Linked DNA regions of Arabidopsis thaliana. The protein of the gene in region 4 interacts with the protein of the main gene of each other region in a pairwise test. Each region holds a gene or a part of one and is shown on either strand. Other genes may lie near its edges. The genes, in order: RGL2, ERF12, KNAT2 and BEL1.

What was found.
Region 1: the proteins of BEL1 (region 4) and RGL2 interact in binary tests that used the Arabidopsis thaliana proteins (3 or more experiments, as listed by UniProt).
Region 2: the proteins of BEL1 (region 4) and ERF12 interact in binary tests that used the Arabidopsis thaliana proteins (3 or more experiments, as listed by UniProt).
Region 3: the proteins of BEL1 (region 4) and KNAT2 interact in binary tests that used the Arabidopsis thaliana proteins (3 or more experiments, as listed by UniProt).

The regions. Positions count from the first base shown.
Region 1 is NC_003074.8:818,790-823,277, forward strand, and holds RGL2 (RGA-like 2), read right to left. Parts: upstream 2,864-4,488; 5' UTR 2,491-2,863; coding exon 847-2,490; 3' UTR 548-846; downstream 1-547. Other genes in the region: AT3G03460 (mediator of RNA polymerase II transcription subunit-like protein), read right to left, coding at 4,280-4,488.
Region 2 is NC_003070.9:9,949,917-9,953,627, reverse strand, and holds ERF12 (ERF domain protein 12), read right to left. Parts: upstream 1,867-3,711; 5' UTR 1,695-1,866; coding exon 1,125-1,694; 3' UTR 523-1,124; downstream 1-522.
Region 3 is NC_003070.9:26,574,578-26,582,512, reverse strand, and holds KNAT2 (homeobox knotted-like protein), read right to left. Parts: upstream 6,028-7,935; 5' UTR 5,879-6,027; coding exon 5,606-5,878; intron 5,366-5,605; coding exon 5,231-5,365; intron 5,158-5,230; coding exon 5,019-5,157; intron 857-5,018; coding exon 615-856; intron 524-614; coding exon 368-523; 3' UTR 82-367; downstream 1-81. UniProt on the Arabidopsis thaliana protein: May play a role in meristem function, and may be involved in maintaining cells in an undifferentiated, meristematic state. Probably binds to the DNA sequence 5'-TGAC-3'.
Region 4 is NC_003076.8:16,578,065-16,584,617, reverse strand, and holds BEL1 (POX (plant homeobox) family protein), read right to left. Parts: upstream 4,683-6,553; 5' UTR 4,195-4,682; coding exon 3,337-4,194; intron 2,735-3,336; coding exon 2,343-2,734; intron 1,518-2,342; coding exon 1,457-1,517; intron 1,373-1,456; coding exon 848-1,372; 3' UTR 541-847; downstream 1-540. UniProt on the Arabidopsis thaliana protein: Plays a major role in ovule patterning and in determination of integument identity via its interaction with MADS-box factors. Formation of complex with AG-SEP dimers negatively regulates the carpel identity process and favors the maintenance of ovule identity.

The DNA.
Region 1 (4,488 bases), on a different chromosome or scaffold from region 4:
AATCGCTTTTACTTTAAAAAAAGGTTTCAATGATATTATTGTGCCATTGGAGTGTTCTATATATAATCCGAACCTATCCGACCAAAATCCCTACGTTAATGTCGTTTTATAATTTCCTTCTTGACTATACGTCTAGATTGAATTCCAGAAAGAATAACTTCATATATGTTTTCAAAACTGAAACCCCCCAAAATTTAGATCCACCAACTCTTAGGTAGAAGACCATTGAATTTGAGGCTTATGATCTCATAAAAGTAGAATAATTTCACCTCGCATATTTTTAAAAGTTGATAACGTACGTCAAAATCAATTTGACATCCATATTACCTCATCAAACCCATAATAAAGAGAGAGAAAAGAACAATCTGTTTCGAAAACAAAAATGTACCAAAATATATTTCGAAGAAAATCTTTTAACAAAGGCTGACATCAGTCCTCGAAACTGAAAGTACATTTTGGATCCGCCTTTTCAGAAACGCTCACGTTCACTTCCCATGTTATCAACGAAACTGTCCAAATTTGAAAAATATATGACACAAAATCATTTAAATAAATTCATATATATTGGATCAAGTAAAAAACATACAGAATCGTTATCCTTCCATTTATTGAAAACTACTTAGCTCGATCTACGATACAAGATTTTTTACTCGTTCTCTTAACTCTCAAAGATACGCACAAGGTCCAAAAAGATAAAGTTGTAAACATTTAGGCAAAAAGGTTAAACACACAAAAACTTCGGGTTAAAAAGTAAAAACATAACTAAAGTTACGGTCTCTTTTCCTAATTTTTTAAAACATTTATTGTTTTTCCCGGTTTCAGGCGAGTCATCTCTACCGCCGCGACTCAGGCGAGTTTCCACGCCGAGGTTGTGATGAGTGGTCGCGTCTGCCACCCTATCATTAAACATCCGTCATTTTCTTCAACTCTGTATCCATCTCCGGTAGCGTAAAGCGATAAAAGCATACTCGCTTGTTTAAACGCGCTAGATCCGAGATGAATCGGGTCAAACCCAGCGGATTTCATCCGAATCCTCCACTGTGCAGCCGTCTCGTGCCGCTCGACCCGATCGGACCCTTCCGCCGCAACAACGTTGAGTATCTGTCTCCCTAAGTACACTTCTGACATAACTCGGTCTTGACTCGGTAAACTATAACTGTCTTCGAGCGAGTCAAACAAGCTCGAGTAGTAATGAAGCGCTTCGTTGAACCTATCGAGGAAGACGATTCCGTTGTGGTTCGCTTCTTGCTCAACCACCGTTACGATACTCGGTTTAATAGCTTTAACCGTATTGAGAAGCTTTTCGATTGAACCGGATCGGGCTAATAACCGGTGGAGCTCAAATACCGAATTAACCACTAAGGTTTCAGATTCGGGTCGGGTTTCGAACATTTCGGGTTCAAGATCCGATAAACTCTCAGCGGCTAAGCCTTTGAATTCGAATTCAACGCCCATGTTCTGAGCGAATTGAGCTAATTTCCAACCTAACTGTTGAAGCGAATCTGAATTCTCCGTCTGCGGTGGTCCGATTCCGGTGAGACGAAACGACGGAGGTCCACCGGGTCGGAGAGCTAAAGCTTGCATTAAAGCAGGCCATTGCATCCCTTGATTAAGCCCTAAATCAATGACGTGAACTCTACGCGCCGTCGTAACAGCTTCTAGAATCGCTTGGTTCGCCGTGAAATGAGCGAACTTCAGGTAAGGGCAAGACTCGTAAAAGTGCATCTCCAAAACCTCTTCGAAAGATGGGTTCACCGCCGCGCAAACGTCCGTCTCCGCCGTGTAATCACGGTAAATACGACGAGCCAAGGCTTGAGCAAAATACGTAGCGACTTTTCCCATAGCTCCAGCTTGAGAACCCGCGAGTGTTCCCACGCGTTTCACCAGCGCGTCAGCTAAGTTGAGATTCTCCTGGTGAATCGCCTCAGCGCACGCCACTAGTGCGTGGACAAGTCTAACTCCGGTCTCCTGAGAGTCAACGAGCACCACGGACCGAGTTGACTCGTCCGACGATTCGCACCACGATCCGAGTCGGATCCTCTTGCTGCTAGCTTCCTCGTCAAAGACTTCCTCTTCCTTTGGAAACGCAGAAAGACCCGGAATTGCTCTGAGATCGTATTCGGATCTATCCACACAACTTCGGGTCGTGTCAAGATCCGAAGAAGCCGGGTTGTTCAGCTCAGAAAGCATGCTCTCGACCCAGTTAGAGAGATCAGATGGGTTATAATGAACAGAGTCGTTTAAGACAGTAGAACCAACATCATCATTAGACAAGACCATCTCAAGTTGTTCAAGCTTCTGTGCTACTTCAGCCATCTCAGAAGATCGAACCTTGTAGCCAAGAACAGCAAGAAGCTCATCATCCATGTTGCTGTTGTTGTTGTCATCATCAGCCTTCTTCTTATCCGCCATTGAAGGACCTTCTCCGGAACGAGAAGCTGGTAGTGGTTTTGGTGGCGGATCCCATGTTTCTCCGTATCCTCTCTTCATCTTTCTTGTTCTTGTGATGGTGAGTTAAGAGACTGATGAAGTTGAAAAAAAAAGAACAAAAGAGAGTTTATAAGAAAGGAGTTTACTTTACTTCATGGGTTGGTAAGGTTTTTATTAATGGGATTTGAAAAAGAAAAAAAAAAGAATTTTGTGGGTCTTTGTTGTGATTTGGTTACAGACAATTTTTGTGGAAAGAAAGGAGATTCTGAGAGGAGCAATATATAAAGCACGAGGGAGTGAGAGAGAGGTCCAATTAGAGAAGTGACTGTGAAGTGTGTTTAAGAGATAAGAATCAGAGCATGCCACTATTGTTTGGCATCTGTTTCTCTCTTTCATTTTTTCCTAACTCCAAGAAATTTACTCCTTTTTTTTTGTAGTAATGGATAATTTTCTTTATAACTGTTTAGTAGAGATTTCTAAATCTGTTTAGTAGTTTTGACCAATGGAACTTTATAACTTTTAGGTTGTAGTGTGCTTTCGTCATATTTGTTGGTAAGATGTTTTTAAGTTGTGAAGTGATTAAAGTGTCTTTTAATGATAGTGTCATAGTCTTATAGACGATCACGACTTAATTGTTCTTAAATGCCATTGAATATTGTCATATTCTCGCTTACGACTTCGTTGTTCTTAAACCCAAACGGCACCAAATGCGTGTTAAGATAATGGCACTTAAGTGTAGTTTTTTTCCTTATGTTGGATAATGTTTATTTTTTCACTAAATAATTGACATTTGATAATCAACTCTTTTCTAATGACAACTGAAAATATTGAATTATACAAATTTGATTTTCTCATATCTTGGTAGAAAGTATATAATCTTTTCCTCAGTCGAAAGTGTATAATCATGAAGCAAGAATCCTAAGTTGTTAGTGTTTGGATAAAAATACAAATTTTCAAAGCAAACAATTTTTTGTTACCAGCAGGTTTAATGTCATAGAGTAATCAGTTTTTAGAGATCATATTAAACTGAGACAACATTAGATAACTAATTATTTTATTGGTCCATAAGAAAAGTATAATCAGACACAAATATGATTCAACTATTACTCTCTTTTTTCTTGACCAAGTTCTAACATTCTGGTGATGTGAATTCTTTTTTACCATAATGATAAACAAATATGTTTTTAGCTATGTATTGTTTCACTGAGATAAAACTACAGTCTACAGCTCAAGTATTTGAGGGGGACACATGAGCAACTTCTCATGTGCCACGTAGAGGAAGACATAGCCTACGAGACGTCCACAACATAAGGTTACTTTCATTAATTTATTGCATATATCTTTCAGCAGTTTTACATACACACATCATCATCATGCATAATAATTAAGGTTTTTTCGAATAGTGGTATCGTTTGGAAACCGTAAAAGATCCTTTTGGAATATAAGAAAATAAATTATAGAAAAATGTTGTGGGGATTGTATATAGGTATGGTCCCAATCGCAGCTACAAGAAAATGATATTCGTTGTTGTGTTAGAAGTCACATGGTGCATGCTTTTCCATTTTTAGTCATTTGATGTAACTTGTGTCTAAATTGGCCTGTTTTGCTTTTGTGGTTTACATTATTTGTTACTTTTTATTTAGGATCCCTCTTTTAAAATTCATAAGATGAGAGAATCGAAACTGAAGCGCGTCATGCTCACTCGCCAAAACTAGTCCACCTCAAAGAACACTTCATCATCGTCAATTTATCTTTCACCTTATTCACTACCTTTCAAGATTTAACTACATCACCAAACTACGAGTATTTGGATAACCAAACCAAAAGAAAATCTGAGTCATGGTTTCATTTACCGAATATTCAAATCAAAATCCCCACTTCTTCGCCACTTCTCATGTTCACCATTTTCATTTTCTTCATCATTCAAGAAATCTTCTAATGGTTCCTTCTCTTCCTTCTGGCTATTATTGTTGTTGTTATTGTTCCCCCATCCATTCATCAGCAACATCATCTCATTAGGGTTCATGTTACGCCCCTGTTCTCCATGATTCCCAATCG
Region 2 (3,711 bases), on a different chromosome or scaffold from region 4:
TAGAATTTGATCTTTTATGAAAGCAATATGCATAATGCATGATCTTTGTTTAGTCAATACATATGTCTAAGTGTCTAACACATGTAACAGTTCTATGACTGTTTTATAGTCTCATAAAACTACACGATTCCGGTTCTACATATAAAACATAAACATAAAATCTTCACAATCTGCATGAAAGTTTTGATTTCGCTACGTGAGATCTCCTTTAGTTAATTAATTTGACTTCTTATGATATTTGATTATATCAAACATGTTTGTTTCATTTACTACTGAAATTTGCGTTATTTTAAGACTTCTGTAGATAAATTTGTTATGTGAATTTGATATTTATCTATATAGGACCGTCAAAAATTTTATTTATTTTATATTTTTAGATGCTTCTATATATATATGTATACACGCATAACATATATAAGATTGGTAAACATGAGCAGAAAAATTATAGGACAATTAAACTTCCTCTAATTTTATCAGAAAACTTTTGTTCGAATTCATATGAAAATTTTCAAAATAAATAAAAAAATACAATTTATTTACAAACTCAAGACTCATAATACACATATCTTGTCCGTAAGTGAATAAGCCAGTCCAAACTCACACGCTTGCTCAGCATTTACGTCTCTCATTAGTCTCTATCTCTTTTGTTTGTTTCCTTCTTTTCTCAGTCCGTCTTTTGTCGTGATTTAAGAGAGAGGCGCGTGAGTCAAACAGGACACTAGCAAAGCAAACAGCTGCACAAGTCAGTCCGTACTTCACGACACGCCATAGAATACGATAAGATTTTTAAAACCCCCTCGAAACCGACATAAGCGACGGTCGTAACACGATCCACAAACATAATTAGATCCACGTTCAGACGTTGTTAAGTTTTTGTGTTGCTAATTAAGAAGTTTCTTGTTTTTTCCGCAACATATGGATCTCACAACAACAATCGATCTCCGACTCTTACATAACGAACAAAAGAAGGATTAAATTATAAAAACAAGTCTACTAACTCTAACAAAAAGATACTATTTGCTAAAAAAAGAAACTAAAGTAGTTCCACCGAAAGTGGTCTCAAACGGCGCCGTATAGAAAAGTAGGCAAAACGGCGCCGCTATATCCATCTTTATCGTTTGTTTTCAAAGCCAAAGCGGCGGAGGCTCGTTGAGGTCAATGGCTAAGCCACGTCTCACCGTAACAGGGGAAGGAGAAGAATTCATCATCGGAAACCCAACCACTTGATAACCAGGCGATGACGTGGCTGTGTTAGGCGAGGAGGTGAAGTAAAGCGGCGCTTCTGTAGAAGAGTAATCTGAAGTTTTGTCGTTTAGCACACCGGTTCGGAGAAAAATGCGGTGGTGTTGGTGATGATGGTCGGAGCTTGGAGGAACAGGAGGAGGCGCAGCGAACCAGAGCTGTTGGTGTTGGTGGGGTTGGTTATTTGCGGCGGCGGTTGCGGCTGAGGGAGCGGAAGGGAGGTGGTTGAGGTCGAGAGAGAGAGGAGAAGGGAAGTTAGTTTTGGCTTTGATACCACGGAGGAAACGAGCAGCGCCGTCGTAAGCAAGAGCAGCTTCTTCGGGAGTGTCGAAAGTGCCTAACCAAACCCTAGTTTTCTTCCAAGGATCTCGTATCTCAGCAGCGTAGCGACCCCAAGGTCTCTTTCTGACTCCTCTGTAATGCACCTCTCTTGCACACGTCGTTGACGCCATTGTTAGACTCTCAAGAGGGGAAATATGAGAGAATCTAGAGAGAAAGTGGAGAAGAGAAGAAAGAGGTTTTGCTTTGTTGGCTCGTTTGACCCAAATGAGAGAGAGAGTGAGTGAGTTTAAAGAGCAAGAGGTGTGTTTGTAGGGCCGCTTGAGAACACCCGTAATCCTCGGCTTCTTTTGACGATTATCTATCTTTATTTGTTGCCTATACGTAATATATATGGCAAGTTAATAGTAAAAACAAAACTGAATAGTGTTTGATTTCTAGGATCGAGGTTTTCTCTGGGGTTTGCAAGAATCAAGCACCGTTCGATCTTTTGCTGTTGGGTGATGTGACGGTGGTATGCTGAGAGATTGTTACACGTGGGTGTTCTACACCAAAATAATGTTGTTTTAATAAGTTGATGTATTTGAAAAAATACAATAGGATTTCTCATAAAGTGAATACTTCTAGTGGTGAGTGGACTTATTCTAGGACATGAAAGAAAACAATGCTAATCATTCCTTTGAGTGCTAATACTGTTTTCTTATCTACCATTTACAACTTCTGTTATATAAAAAAGATTTGTTAGGTAATGGTTAGAAATAAAATATTTTAGTTCTACTCTCCAAACAACCTCATTACCGTTGTAACTTATGGTAAATTAACTCATTACTTGCTAGTGACGATAATGCCATACTATGAAATTTATGCTATTATAAAAAGAAGATAGAAAGATCATTTTTGCATAGGCTCTCCAAACATTTTTTCATAATTCAAGTACTTTGTTTTCGATCGTAACAATCTCGATGCTTTTTCTCACAGCAACCATTGATACAAAATGATCAAAGAAAAAAGAACTAAAAATAAATAATCTTGTACATTTACGAAGAGGAAAGAAAAATGGGCCGCCTCTTTGACTGAACCTGTGGCATAGGGATGCTGACGTAATCCCTAGTACTGATAATAGCCATCTCTCTCTATCTTTTGTATCTTTCACTCTATTATTTGACAAGTATTTAAATGCTCTCTTTTGGGGTTTTATTGGCACCCATATATATTTATGATGCACGAGGACAAGGCTACAAGGAGATCATTAAATAAAGTTACTTGACACAACTACTCTATCTTTAGCTCTGACTGATTTTGTTTTTCTTTTTGTCCAAAATTCATTAGCCCATCTTATGCAAACTTACTATACTCTCTAGTCTATACTAATAGAGTAGATTACATAGGCTCTTTCTTTTCCCTCTAAAAAGTGACGTAGTTTAAGTCTTTATATTGTGTAAAATATATAGTAATCATAGGAGTCAAAAATTTATAGCAATTGAAGTGGCTTATAATTTTCAGTAATAGACAATGAATTAAAACAAATTAGTTAGAGGTTTTTTGTTTTTGTTTTATCAACTGAAGTTTTATTAGATTAATTTGTCTTTTAACTTCTCTATTTCTTGACATTTTGTAAGATGTTTTTGTTTGGTTTTAGGGTTATTTAAAAATAAATAAAAAAATCTGTGTTTCCTTTCACGTGACAAGGCTTAGGGTCTGTCGTTTTGATTGAACAAATGCATTGGTCCATATCTAACAAAATTTATACACGTGCGAACTCTGATGTCTGACTTCTCTCTCTCTGACATATCTAATTATTTAAATTAACCCTACCTATAAGCACAGTAAAAAAAAGAGAGATACCCCAAAGCTATATAAGCTACTACAGTACTAATAATCATTTTCAAGAAATATTTTGGAGAAAAATGTGAATGTGGCTTTCGTGTTCACGTGAGCCTGTGATACATAAGAGCTTTATGACGTGTCTTTGTAGTAGCAGCTAGGACAAAAGGAGCATCGTCATCAAGTGGTACTGACTGGCTGCCTCCTACAAAAACAGAACACAACTCAACACTCACACGAAATCATGACTTTGATGTCTCTCTGCTTACGTGTCTTCTTCTCATTCCATGAACCCCCTCCTCCTCTCTCCCCACACCTGATCTGACTGCACTTTCGCGCCTCTTTTTTGACTATTTTGTTGCTTTC
Region 3 (7,935 bases), on a different chromosome or scaffold from region 4:
CGAAATCCAAAAACCGATCCGAAAAATCCGGCTCCGAAACCGAGCCAAATAGTCACAAAATTCGAATGGATAATGAATTCTTCTACCCGAATGGATAATGAAAATAAATTATTTAGTTGACACATCAGCTATCTAAGTAAGGTTCAATACAAATAAGAAATCTATCAATTTGGATGATTGGAAGATTAGTGACATAATATTGCCACTATTTCCAATACAATGTCTCGTTACGCCCTTGACCGTTTTGGCTAACGGGTTCCATTCATTCGCGATGATGCCCCATTTACCAAAAGCTTTTTACTGTTTTCTTTTCTTGGAAAAACAGTGTAAAAATTATACAATGCACAATTTCATGTCTCTCTTTTCATTACTCGGTAAAGAATGTTTCATTAGAATCGTCCATCATATCAAACGGCATGTTCTCCGAAGGCTTCCAATGGCGTTTCCTTTGGTTTATAAACCAATTGTTGATTTGTTTTTGATCCAAACCTGTTTCTTCAGCCAGAGATATTTTGTCGCCTTCCTATACACATTCGAGAGGCGGATATTAATATGTCGAAGAAATAAATTAATGAGTGTATGCTAGGTTACGGTGGAATCAGAAAGACACTTACAGTAGGGTAAGGCCATTTATTATGAACATTCCACCAATCGAGCAACGCTTGTCTTGCTTCTCTTGGTAGCTTCCCTTTCTTCTTCTTTTTAGAGAACTCGAGTTTCAATGAACTGATATGGCTACCAAATTTGCGTAGTAGCTGGTCCTTCAGATCGCGGTCATTGCTTCTTTGTTGGCTGTCATCCGCTGCTATGTCATCATCTTCTCTCAGTTCCTCGTCAGATGAAACCGCACCATCATCTGCTCATACATGAGAATAATGTCATACAGAAGATTCAATAATGATTAGCTCCCACGTATTAGCCAAATACGTGCCATACCGATAAAATGTACTAGGAGAATGTATGGTGGTGCTATTTATGGTAGCATATTTGACAATGTAGAAAGCAAATTCTACCACTATGCCAACACTAACAAACATAGCTAACACTAAGATACTAGTAGGCTCGGCTAAATGACTAAGTGGCTAAAGCAGCTAAAAGAAGAAAAGAGCCAAAAAAGCATAGAGAAGAGAACAAGGGTGAAAGAAAGGAAAAAAAAAAAAAAAAAAGGGTGAAAGAAAGGGGTAAAAGGGGAAAAACAAGGATAGCGAGATAATATCGAGGTTTTACAAGACCCGGGCACAAAAATGATCAGTCAAAAACTTTCGCAGTCACTGAATAGTTTAGCTTCCATTGCCACTGACGTGCTCCTTTGGGACTTACCACTAGCCACCTGAGTCACGACACGTATCACCTTTCTGACACTTGTTTGAGTGACCCCCGGAAAAAACGCTTCCCCAACATTTATGAACTTTCTCATAATGCCCCATTTATGACCATACCATACTGACCCCTATGTTACTGCGACTAAAAGGGAGCCTAATTAAGGGAGTTTAAACATGATTAATGGTCAAATTATTTGCATTAATAGAAATTTCACTTAGTATTCTCAACTTAGTGATTACAGAAAGACATCGTTTCAAAGTCTCCCTAAAGAGTTTAGGTTGTAGTTTGCTACACCACTAATGAGCTGATCCTTAGACAAATCACACAAAATATAGTTCACACCCTATCCATGAAAACTTTGCTAGTTGAGGATGGTATGTGCAATAGTAACTCGGTTTGTTCTTTACCTATTAGCCGAATTTGGTTCCTATATAACATCAAGACAATGCGAAAGAGACAACATGCACTGATAAAAAAAAAGTAGATAGACTTGTACATCTCCCAAAAAAAGTTAAACACGTGGAAATTGCATGGCCCATTAAGGGAACAAACGCAGAGAGGAAATGACAACCACTAAGCAACAGTAGAAAAAGATGTGGAGAAACATTAGTCGTAAGATGATTGCATTGTACATAAATCAAAACCCATGTCTCTCCCCTATTTTCTTCTCTTTCTTTTTCTTTAAAATCAAATCAAATCTTAAAAAGAGAGTGTTGCGATTGGGTCATAAAGGGATCCACCAACGTAATCCACGGGAGTCCATGTGACACTTGACCACCTCATGCTTCTGTCTCCAACTTCTTCTATTTAGAAATTAAAAAGGGCTAAAAGATTTCTAATTCAAGCATTTGGGTGTGTTTTTTTGTGCGTGTCAAAAGGACCATTCTATCAACGAAGGTGATATAACCAAACAGATTATCAGTATTATCATGTCTAGAACTGGTGAAGTAACTAATGTGCCATGACAGAGTATTTTGTTCAAAAGAACATGCTTTTCGAGTTTCCTACGAACATTGAATGAATAGAATATCATTCACAGCCAAAGATATATCTAGGGTGAATGCATAGGGACCTAGGGTGAATGCATTTTACAACACAAAAATACTAGTTGTAGACTGTAGTGAATAATCTTAAACAATAGTCCTAAATTCCACATATGGATACAAAATCGCACATGGATCTCATTGTATCAATACACCATCCGAACACCAAATGATTAGAAGAAAATATGAGGATGGAACAAAAACCATGGCCAAGATTGACCATCTTAATCACGAAAAGGGTCAATTGCACACTAAAGCGAGAACGAAAAAAATAAGTAAACACAATTGCTATGACAAACATCAGTTGACTAAAGAGGATTTGGTTTATTCCTAAAGCATATTAGCACGAAAAGAAACCAAAAGCACATGACTCTGAAAACTACATATTATGAGTTATACTATTAGTTTAAGATATTCAGTTGAAAAGAAAGTCCTTTCTCGGGACTTAAGAAACAGAAAAAGGTATTGACCAAGGAAAAGATGTTCATAAGGTAATATATATTCCTTCAAAATCATACATGAGATTACGCTAAAAAGGTAAGTGGTACTTCAAAACCATTAAAAAACTAAACATTCGTCCAATAAAGATAAATTCAAGCTGCAAGTGATCTGTTTTTCAACCTTTTGGACAAGATTATTCCCTATGTAAACTCCAATTAATTAAGTACGCTGATAAGTATTAACAACTTTTCGGAATTAAACAATGCTAACAAAGTACAACCGAAGCAGCATTTGATATCAACATATAAGAAAAAGAAGACTATTAAAGCTGAATTCCACTATATTGTAGTTCCAATTTTTTTCCAGCTAGTTCTTATCAGGTGGAGATGAAGAAGTAAAATGATTACTTTAAAATCCCTAAGATAGTGAAATACTTTACTTATAAAAAATATACACACGTATTCTGACAACATGAACGTGGCTAAGTAGATTAGTGTAGATTAACAAGAAACTAATTTTTGCCCTGTTGGAAAGGTTTAACCAATATAAGCTACAAAAACAACACAAAGACAACTAAAATTACATTCTTTTAAGAAACCTACTATTCCTTATTTGGGCTGCTTGTAAAATACTTACAAAGTTCTATTCTGCTTAATTAAGAAAACAAATGGTGGAAAAGAAGGTACCATTAAGTTTAGTTTAATACCTCGGCAAATTAGTAAACCTCACTTACATTGTGTAAGTGTCTTAATGCATTTCAATCATTTATTTATTCACATAAAATTCCAACAAGAATACAAGAATAACAGACACATTAACCACGACATGCAGAATATACAAGCCTCTTGGCCATCAAGCATTTTTATGGACTTACATGCGCATGAGCTCAGATTAACTGAAATCCAACAGAGATTTGGTTTAGCTTTTTCGAGCTAAAGAAACACAAAATCCAACTATTTGACCTGATCAAGACACTTCTTTGGTTTACTAAGTCAGATAGGTTCGTGAAAATTAATCACACCAATGATTTTGTACATGTAATTTGAACACAGTGGACTTCAAATGTAAGACCCTTAGGTGCAAATACAATGTATTCAAAAATAAGGGCTAGTGTCATTAATTTTCACATACACTAAGAAAACAAATCAATCTTATGTTATACTCATTATACACAATAAATTTTTATCTCTCTAATAGTAAAAACTAAAGTGACATGGATAAAACTTAAGTCTGACACTTTCTATGGAAAAGTAGTATAAACTTTGGTTCATTCACCAAGAGAAGTTGGAGTAATCAAGAACTAGTAAAGTTTTGTTTTACCCATCAGTCTCTTAATGAAGATGAAAACAAGCGATACTACTAGAGATCTAAACATGAAGCCAAGGACAAACTCAAGAAAAATCAGTGGCATTTATTAGTGGAAGTTATGACTAGGTTTTTTCTCTATGATTGAATTTTCACTGGAAATAAGCAATTAAAAAACTTCCAGTACGACACTGAAACGTCAAAATCAGAATCTCTAGCGCAAAAGTTTTTGCTTTCATAGACCCATATTTTCTTCTGACAGAGGAGAAGATAATAATACAAGTATATATAAAAGTAACAAAAGAAAAGTATACCATACCAAAATCACTAGGAAAATAAATATCACTAACAGAGAAAATCCTACCCACCGGCTTTCCCCTAATATCCGCCCCACAGCTTAAACCATAGCTAATGATAGAAAATAAATGTCACAAAGATGTGTGAAGGTCATGGATCTATCTAAAGCATGAATGACTTCTACCAAATATAAAAGATGTGGCTGAATCAATCATTGTTTTCTAACAAAACTAGGGTTTTAGAGTTTCCTTGTTTTTTTCTGACTTTTATTGCCTTGGGTTGTCTAAACCGGATCTACTAAGCTCCTCCTAGTTTCAGCTACAACAACTTATCGATTCTCGTTTTCTTTAAGGAAAAAAAAAACAGTAGAAGATTTCCAATTTTTCCATCAATTCCAAGAAACTGATCATTGAAGCACAGAAAGGAAAAGTTATCTGAGGATAGATTTTCTAATCCGCAAGATCTGTAACTGTAAGGAGAAATTTGCGCAAGGATTTTAAAGGACACACAAACCGAGGATAGTGCTCAAAGATCAATAAAAACACTAGCTAGGAAACAAGAAATCAAAAGTACACTCGAACAAGAGATAGATATCACTTTAGTGCTGACCTGAAAGAGCTGTAGCAGACGCTGGACCAGTGCACAAGTTCTGAAGCTGCATTTCAATCTTGTTTATGAAAGTTGTAGCCTCGTCGAACGGCCTCGCAAGATCGGTTTTGTATTTAACCAATATATCACAGTAGGTTTCCTAGAATCACACCACAAAAAAACAAAATTATATTTTAAGAAAAACTAGAAGATCAAAGTTCAAGGCAACGAACAAAGTGAGAAACCATGAATTCATCAAGCTCAGGATCAGCTCCAAAGCAAGATAATGGAGCAACATCTCTCTTGTACACATGGTTCTCTCGCTGAATCTCTTCCAATATACACGCTATTTCCATAGGCGCTCCCACCTGTCAATCAATAACCAAAAAAAAAAAAAAATCACTCTCACATATAAACACAGTCTCTCTAGTTCTCCAATCTTATCTTAGGGTTAAAGTGGAATAGAAAAAAAAAAGTAAGAGAACTATCTTTAAATACGACGATGAATACATGTAAAATTCCTGACGCTTAATCAAATTAACCTTGAAAGCACAAAATCATACACAACAAGAAAAAGAAAAGACAAAACACGAAAGCAGCGAGATCACCTTTTGGCAATCGATGTAGGTTTGGAGTAAGCGAGGATACAAAGGATGAGAAGCGATTTTGGATTTGATGACACTAAGAGAGAAATTATCCTCAGCTTTTCGAATACGCGGAAGCAACTCCGAGGACAAAGCGGTAGCGAGTTCGTCGGATCCAAACAGTCTTTGATTGTCTCCGGTGGTTGAACAAATCAAAGACTGATAATCGGACGGCATCATCAACGTCGCTTTCTCCGAATAGTCTTCCGTCGAGCGGAAACCACACATTCTATCCATTAATGTGATCGTAGTGAGATACGATCAGTGATCGCCGCTTCTTCGATCCCTAGCCTTGTGCTTGCTTCTGAAGAATATGAAGAAACACAAAAGTAAGAAGTAACAAACTGCTTCAAAGAGAGAGAGAGATAGAGACAATGGAAATAGATAGACTGGCCAAGTTGAGGCGGTCTCGTAGTATAGTAGTCTGAGGGCAATGATCGTAAATATTTCAGCAAAAAACCAAAAAAAAAAAAAAATGATTTGTGACGAAAAGCAAAAAAAAAAAAAAATCACGAATATGAATTTTCATAGTTTATTATGATAATTTACAAGTTTTTCTTAAAGACACCATAATTTTTATTTTATTTTGTCGTACTAGTATAAAAGAAGAAAGATTTCAAGGGTTTGCCATATGTGTTAAGGAATACGATTCGAGTGATTATAAAAAGATTTCTTCGTGATTCAAGAGCACTTTTTTTAACTGTACGATTACATGGTTACGATTATTTTTGATATATAATATTATCGCACAAATGATCAAAATAGCACGCTAACCTTTAGAATTTATGACTTAGCTAATGAAGACAACAATTAGTACTTGTTAACAAAAACAGGTTAGACGATGGTAATTTGAATTTTGACAGTAAAAACAAATGATGGTAATTTTGTTAATTAATAAGCTTTTTGTTTCAATTACGGTGGCCGACACCTACTAGGCTACTACGATTCTAGTTGTCTAACCGGATCGGTTCAACTTCAATTTCACTCTTTCAATTTTCACCTAGTTTTGTTTCTCTGTAAAACACGTCTATGGTAGCTAGGTGCTCATTATCAATCACAACATAGTAAACAATTTTTGTTTTTTAATTGCTTTCAGTCATTTGCTAATTAAACACACTCTTAGGAACTATTTTTTATAGTGGCCACTCCACTTATCGCACTTCTTGTTATTTTCATAGAGAATCTGTTAGTCGCGTATAATATCAACTCAAAATGTTTCATTACCTTATATAGTAACAGAACCTGCAGTTTTTGTCATAAACCAAAATCCATCTATAAACCCTGTTGTAAGAAAAAAAACTATATTTTTGCATGGGTCTACTCCAGACCCGATCCGATGATCCATATCGTTTTTTCCGCAAAAAAAAATAAAAACAAATGTCATAAAGGTCTTTTTGATGATGGACAGGTTTGATTGACACATCCGTCGGACTACTTTGGTGTGAAATTTAACTGACATAAAGCTTTGTTTTAGTATCAAACCTTATAAAAACGACAGAACTTTCCTTCTCTCTCATTTCACTTCGTTGGATCGTATCGTATTGAATCCCCACCGGTGGCCTTCACAGCACATATTTATATTGTTTCTAAACTTTTCTGTATTTTTTGGGGGGGGTCACAAGTTTCTATAATCTATATGATCACTATCGTCGAGAAATGATTGCAAAAAAAAAATGTGTGTCTTGCAGAAAAAATAATAATAACAAAAAGTGACGACTAAATTATTAGATCAAGTGCATATAATTATGTTGCTAAGATAATATTGTACCACTCGAATGTTTCATCATGGATTGTTCATACTGTTCCCGTGATTTAGTGTTGTTAGGTTTCAATTCTTTGTATTGAGGTTTTTGTTAATATATTATTGTACCACTCGGTTGCTTCAACTTTGTAGGAGTTTATTGTCATTCTTTTTTGTATCTCATATCATCAATATGTGGTTTTGAACAAATTTGTTTCTGTTGTTAGAAATGTTACTGAAATTGGAGATTACTTAGCTTCTTATGGATTTTATTTATTTATTTTGGGAATCCCAGGTCTTAATACTCTCCTTTGGTTGTTTCTCTTTCTTTCTAAGTAGTTTTATGCTATACAATTACATGTTATCAAAATAATCTTAATATGGTTTATAAAATTTTATATGCTTGTCTTAATATGTTATGTTTTAACAAATATTGTTTTTAGTCATCTCTACATAACGCTTGTAACGAACTGAAATTTGAGATTACTATACTAAACACTGAGAGACTCATTTTTAATTAACTAACATATAATTATAACTTAACCAAAACATA
Region 4 (6,553 bases):
GAAACTTGCTTGAATTCATTATTCATGTGTACATAACTTTATATGTATACGGGAGTGTACACGTGAACGTTATCGATCGACCGAGATGGTCCAATAGTCAGTTTGTTCTTTCTTTATTATGTTTGTCGTCAACTTTATTTTATTAGGTTTTGTCATTAATAACACAAAGACCATACACTCTCTCTAATTATGTCTTTATATAAATATGATGGTCTAGTGATTTTCGTTACTGAAGTCGTATCTATTCGATTCCAAATCCGTATAATGCATGCCAACTACACAAATTTCACTCGTCCATGTTTGTGTGATATCTATTTATGTGTATATTATACACAGTTACACACATTCAATTTTATAATTTGTATCAAGTATATACGTAAACGATTGTCATGTACAGACACTCAACATACTTTAAAAAAAACTATATATCCATTTACTTTTCGAAATTTTGAAACCAAATTTATAAGAAAAACAAAATTTTAAGGGATTGAATGTTTCCAAATAGTTTGAGATGGTCCTAGAATATGAAAACAGATTTGAAAAGACACTTGATAATATTTCCTTAAACAAAAATATATATGATTTACATTAAGAAAAAAGTATTAGATTGAGAAAAAAACCTCTCAATAATATATTTTAAAAAACAAAATGAAAATATCCTACAAGTGATATTGACGAACCAACTAACTCATACATTAATAATATCTCCTTGTCCACCAATCCTCCAATCCAATCAGACAACGGTATATATAAATATCTAATTTGGTTTTTATCTAACTAAACCGTTACATAACCGAATCGGTTTTGGAAAATATGTATCGATAACTTTGGTCCTAATCTTTTAATCTCAAACAATATCATGAAGTAATTGAGCTCCCATCAAATTCCTATAAGGCAAATTCTGAACTTGATCATCATCTAACATCGACGCTGAATATTGAACCGGTCCTTCTTCAATGTGGTCTCTACCGTAGAAAAGTTGGCCACCTTGAGCCGTCACTGGAGACAACGCTAAACTCACACCACCGTTACCATCGTTACGTTGTAACCCAAGCGTCAAGGAAACGTCACCACGTGGCCCTCCTTCACCAGCGTATGTCACAGCTTGGTTACCGTACAAGGAAAAGTCAAACGTTGACCCTAACGACATCGTTCCATGGGTTGAGTTGTGACCGGATTTGGATGTAGGGTTTGTCACTATTGAGGATAAAGATTCCGGTTCGACACGGATCAACTGGTCCGGGTCCGGTTTAGTATCGATCATCATCGGGTTTGTAATCTCCATTTGTTCACTTCTTGTTTCTTCACAGTACATTTCTTCAATCATTGGTTTCCATAGCCTAACTCTTGCATTAATAAACCAATTTGATACCTAACAATTTTGGTTTATTATAACTTTAGTAAATAGGATAATAAATTTTGGAATATATCAAGAATTAGTGGAGTTATTCTTTACCTGACTTCTTGATAAACCAGTTTGTCGGGCCAATATATGCTTATCAACATCGCTCGGATATCTGAAAACAAAAATAAGAAAATTTTACTTTAATGGAAAAATATAAGACAAATGGATATGTAATTAAAAAAAAGGATATAAATGATTGAAGAATGATGCAAATAAAATGGAAGCAAAGGTAAAGGGTTTGGTGAAAACTAACAAGATGTTTCATTGTTTGAGCAGTGTTTGGGAATTGATGGAGACAAGTGTTACATATGATGATAAACATATAACTTCTGTAAATTAAATAAATAAAAAGTAGAAGAAAAAGAACAAAATAAAAACATGGAGAAAAAAGCAAGGAGTTATGTATAGTTTCTCTCTTTTGTTAGTGTTAGGTAAAGAACATTGATTCTCTCTCTCAATCCACTTTGTACCTTTCTCTATTTCTGTCTTTCATCCACCAGTTAAATTTATTTTATTTAATTTTATATGTTCGTATACATATATATACATGTGTATATGTATATGTTTGTACACTCACTTTCACACCAATAGTGCAAATGAAAGAAAAAGGAAAATAAAAAAGCTATATGCAATTAACAGATTAAGGTAGATTGTATCCTATGCTTGTCAAGTCAATCTCAATCTCTCTATATAAAATGTACATATTTTTTTACTTTTATATGTTCAAAAATATTCATGTAACAAACAAAAAAAACCTATCATACTATTTATCAACGTACTATCAATGAAATAAAATCGTTAAAGAGGTTTTATATAGCTCCATAAATATACCCAATTAACTTGTGATTCTACCTTCATTGATCACTTCAGAAAGACACAATTAGTAACTTTTAGGTATGTGTAAATATATTAAGAGGATGTATATGAAATAACTTACGGGTGAAGAAAGTGTTCAAAGAGCCAAGCTCTCAACGTTGTGACTGCGCGTTCAGGCAAGCCGCGTTGTGGACGCCAAGGATGAGCGTCAACAAGAGTCATTTGGCGATACGATTTCTGTTGCCGCAAAGCTTGATCGAGCAATCTCAACCGTGGAGTTTCTCCACGTGCTGCAATAGAAACCGCACGATTATCCTCTTCTCTCTCTCCCAAAGCTTGACTTGTTGCTTGAATCTGTCCCACAAGTCCGTCTTTTAAACACCGAAAGTGTCTTGACATTGCCCTTGACGCTAACGCAGTGTATATCTCTGCCCCTCCTAGTCCAACCGCCGCTTCAAAGGCTGCCGCCGCAACTCTCATTTGCTCTCGGTAATGTCCATATCTTCTTTTAAGCTGCCAAAAAACCGCAAAAAAACGTTACCCCACACCATTCACAAAGATTTCAATCACAATCGTGTAAATGTAGATTCTTAGAATGAGTAAATACACGAAAAAGAAACAACTCGTTATGGCTTATGATGATGAAACTGATTGCTATAAATATGGAGGACCACTAGAGTCTCCAAATTAGCTCAAAGCAAAGAAAACAAAATTATATTTTGGTTCTATAGAAAAAAAGAAATAATGAGTAAAGGAATTAAAAGGGTTGATCTTTTCGTAGTTGATACGATCGAACTTGTTTTCGACGAGAATACATGAAAGAATGAAGACAAAAAAGAATCTTTTTATCTTAATATCTAAAAGAAATTTGTAACTTTAAGAAATATATGGACCTAATCAAGAATCGAAAAAATACAAGATTTATGGGTATCTTACATATTTAGGAATAAGTTGAAACCAAATGAAAGGAAAAAAAAAAAGATTTGTAAAAGACTTGTGGGTATTTTACATTTTTAGGAATAAGTTGAAACCAAATAAAAAAGGATTAGATTTTCTAAGAAACTCATGTAAGTTTTGATAGTAGTAATGAAATAATTTCTTGAAAATATATATACCTCTTCGAGCATGGAGAGCAACTTGGCTTTTCTTTTCTGAAGTTCCATGAACTCAAGAGAGTGAAGTGGTGGAACATGTTTCTTTGAAGAAGTAGTCGCAGATTGGTCATGTTGATCATTGTTGCTGTGGTGACTTGTGTCCCACTCTTCTTGTTGTTTACCCTTTTGCTTCTTCTTATGCTTCATCATCATCACTTCTTCATCGCTTTCCTTTACTCCAAGACTGCAAAACTCACTCAGTAGCTCTTGAGCTGGACTCAAATACTTGGAACTCCCAATCTGAAACTGATGATGATTATGATGCTGATGATTGTTATTGTTGTTGTTTTGGTGGTGACTATTCATCATCATCATCATCATCTGCGTGTGTTGGAGATTCTGATGTTGTGTTGATTTATTACCGGAATACCCTTGTTGTTGTTGTTGTTGGGGTCTGAGTTCGAAAGATTGGAGACTGATGCTTGTAGGATTTGAAGAGGAGAGAGAAAGGGAAAGACCTTGGCTTGGTCTTTGTGGTGGTCTCTCATCATTTACTTCACTTGGGAAATCATTATTAACATTGCATAGTCTCATGGCAGATGAAGAATCTTCCAGAAGCTGATTCTGATCAGTACCACCACTTGTCTGATGATGATGATGATGATGATCCGAACCACTTGTCATCCTAATCTGTTGTTGCTTAGAGAAGTCTATCATCATACCCATGTTGGAGTTTGAGCCAAAGATCTGATGATTGTAATGATGATGATCGGTTGGGTTTTGGTTTGTCTCATCAAACCCTTGGATCTGATTAATCATTTGATGTTGTTGCTCTTGATGATGATGGTTATTGTGACCATAGAACTGATCTCTTGCCATGTCTCTCAAGAATTGAAAACCCAAAAAGAAGAGAAGAAAAAAGAAAACTCTTTTTGGGACAAAAACAGAAGTTTCATTAAGATCTACAAGAACCCATCTCCAAGAAAAAGTTAAAAAGAACCAATAAACAAAATAGAAAGGCAAATCTTCTCATACCATGAAAATTACAAAACTTTGTATCAGAACCAAGACAATAGAGATAGCTCCTAAAACCCTACAAGAAAGTAGTTTGCATAAAGATGTGAATTATTTTTCTTCTTATTCTTTAGGTGAAGAGGGAGAGAGAAGAGATTATAGGAGAAGATAGACGAAGAAGAATAAAAGAATTAAACAGAAGAGATATAACAGAGAGAGAGAGAAGAAAAGAGATTGTGTGGCTTCACCTCTCTCTTTGTTTTGTACTTTGACAAAATTTAATTTTTCTTTTAGTATGGGTCTGTAAATTGTACTACAGGCAAAAATAAAGAATTATAAAATGGTAAAATAAAATTAAACCTAGGAAGAGAAAAAATCAGATTGGTATCTCTTCAGAGATCAGAAGACAGGTGATCATGACCCTGCCATAGACTCTATAGCTAGCCATCAATGTTTTAATCTCTCTCTCTATATATATCTATATATATATATATATCACAAGTGGGTCAAAATGCTTTACAATTTTCAAAAGAAATATTAATATTCTTTTTATTTTATTTTTTCCCGCATATAAAATGCCTCACAATTATACATTTAATTTGTGTATTTTGGTATACGTAAGTCATAATGAAATAATGGTTTATATTTTTCTTCTTCTTTGACGTTGAATTATAAATTATTGGTCTGACCAAGAAAATACTACAGGTGTCTACCTCTATTCTTTATTTTCTTCGTTCAATTATTAAGAACCTGCTAATTCGAAAATTTAGTTTACAAAAAAAATCAAAAAGGATGGTACGTACGTACATTGGTCCAAACAGTTTAGAAAAAAAATTGATTGGATAGATAACAAATAATTAAACTGAACTAAAGAAAACAAAAATTAGAGATCCTTTGCCCGGTACACAAACTAATTATACAAGCCATCTTCATATGACATATCTCTACGTTGATTTAATTATTTATTAAACATAATTTAGTATTTAAATGTTCATATATATATATATATATGTATATATGTATTTAGTATTTTGATTTTTATTGCTGAATCCATACGTGTAATCTACGTGTATATGTATTTAGTATGTATGTAGATATGTATACAATATGTTATCTAAGAAAATGATATCAATTTTGGTGTTAGTGTCGTTTGCTAAGCTTATGTAGGCAAATTTTGTTATTAAATGAATATTTTTGGAACTACTTTTTTTTTTGGTGAAAATATTTTTTGGAACTACTTTTTAAACATTTTTATGAAGCATAGCGTATCTCAAGCAATATTTGAACATTGACGATGATTTTTAATTGAAAATAATAATATTCTAAATTTAGCCAACCAGTCACGTGAATGTACAAATTTAACTAGTATTTTGTACAAAAGGTGTCCCTTTCTATACATAAATAATCGTTATATATAATACATGTATGCCTCTGCGGCTCTGCCTATTTTGCTCCTAAAATATATTTTCTTTGTTAAAGAATTATTATCAGGTCTAATTTATAACAGAATTATTTGATGATAAATGAATTTTCAAACAAAGAAGAGAAGTTAAGTTAACTTAAAAAATGAATAACTGTGAAAAAGTTTTGCTCCTAAAATAGTTTTTTTTTTTTTTGGAGAATTAACATACCAATATATATATATATATGTTGGTGTATAGATGGAGAGGTAAGTAAATGAAAGAGAACGAATCCCAAGAAATCAAACCAGAAGTAGGAGTTGAGTTCAGGCTTTTCTCAGATATGTCTCAGTGTCACTTCTCTACTGTTTAACAATTACTATTAAATTACTATCAACCATATCATAACTATATAAACATTTTAATTAATAGTAATTATATATAGTAGAATAGAGATCGTAGTCCCGTGTAATACAACACAAATGGACTGATGTCATTATTCGACTTGCACTTCGCACAGTACGTGAAAGAGATTGTGTTTTGAGTTTTAAAATACGTTGTTGGTCGGTCACTAAACTAATCGAGAAAGTACCAAAACAAAAGTCTCCTTGTTAGTAACTGCAAGGGCGAAGAAGTTAATTATATCAAGATTTAATGGTTTTCTATTAAATTCCATTTAATATGTACGCAAAAGAAGGAAAACAAAAAATCAAAGTTTTCTTAAACATTGCTGACATACAAAATCAAATATTCAAATTTTAAATAAATGTTTCTTAAATGTTGACATAGAAAACTAATATAGTCGTTCTTCTGCTTGGCACATG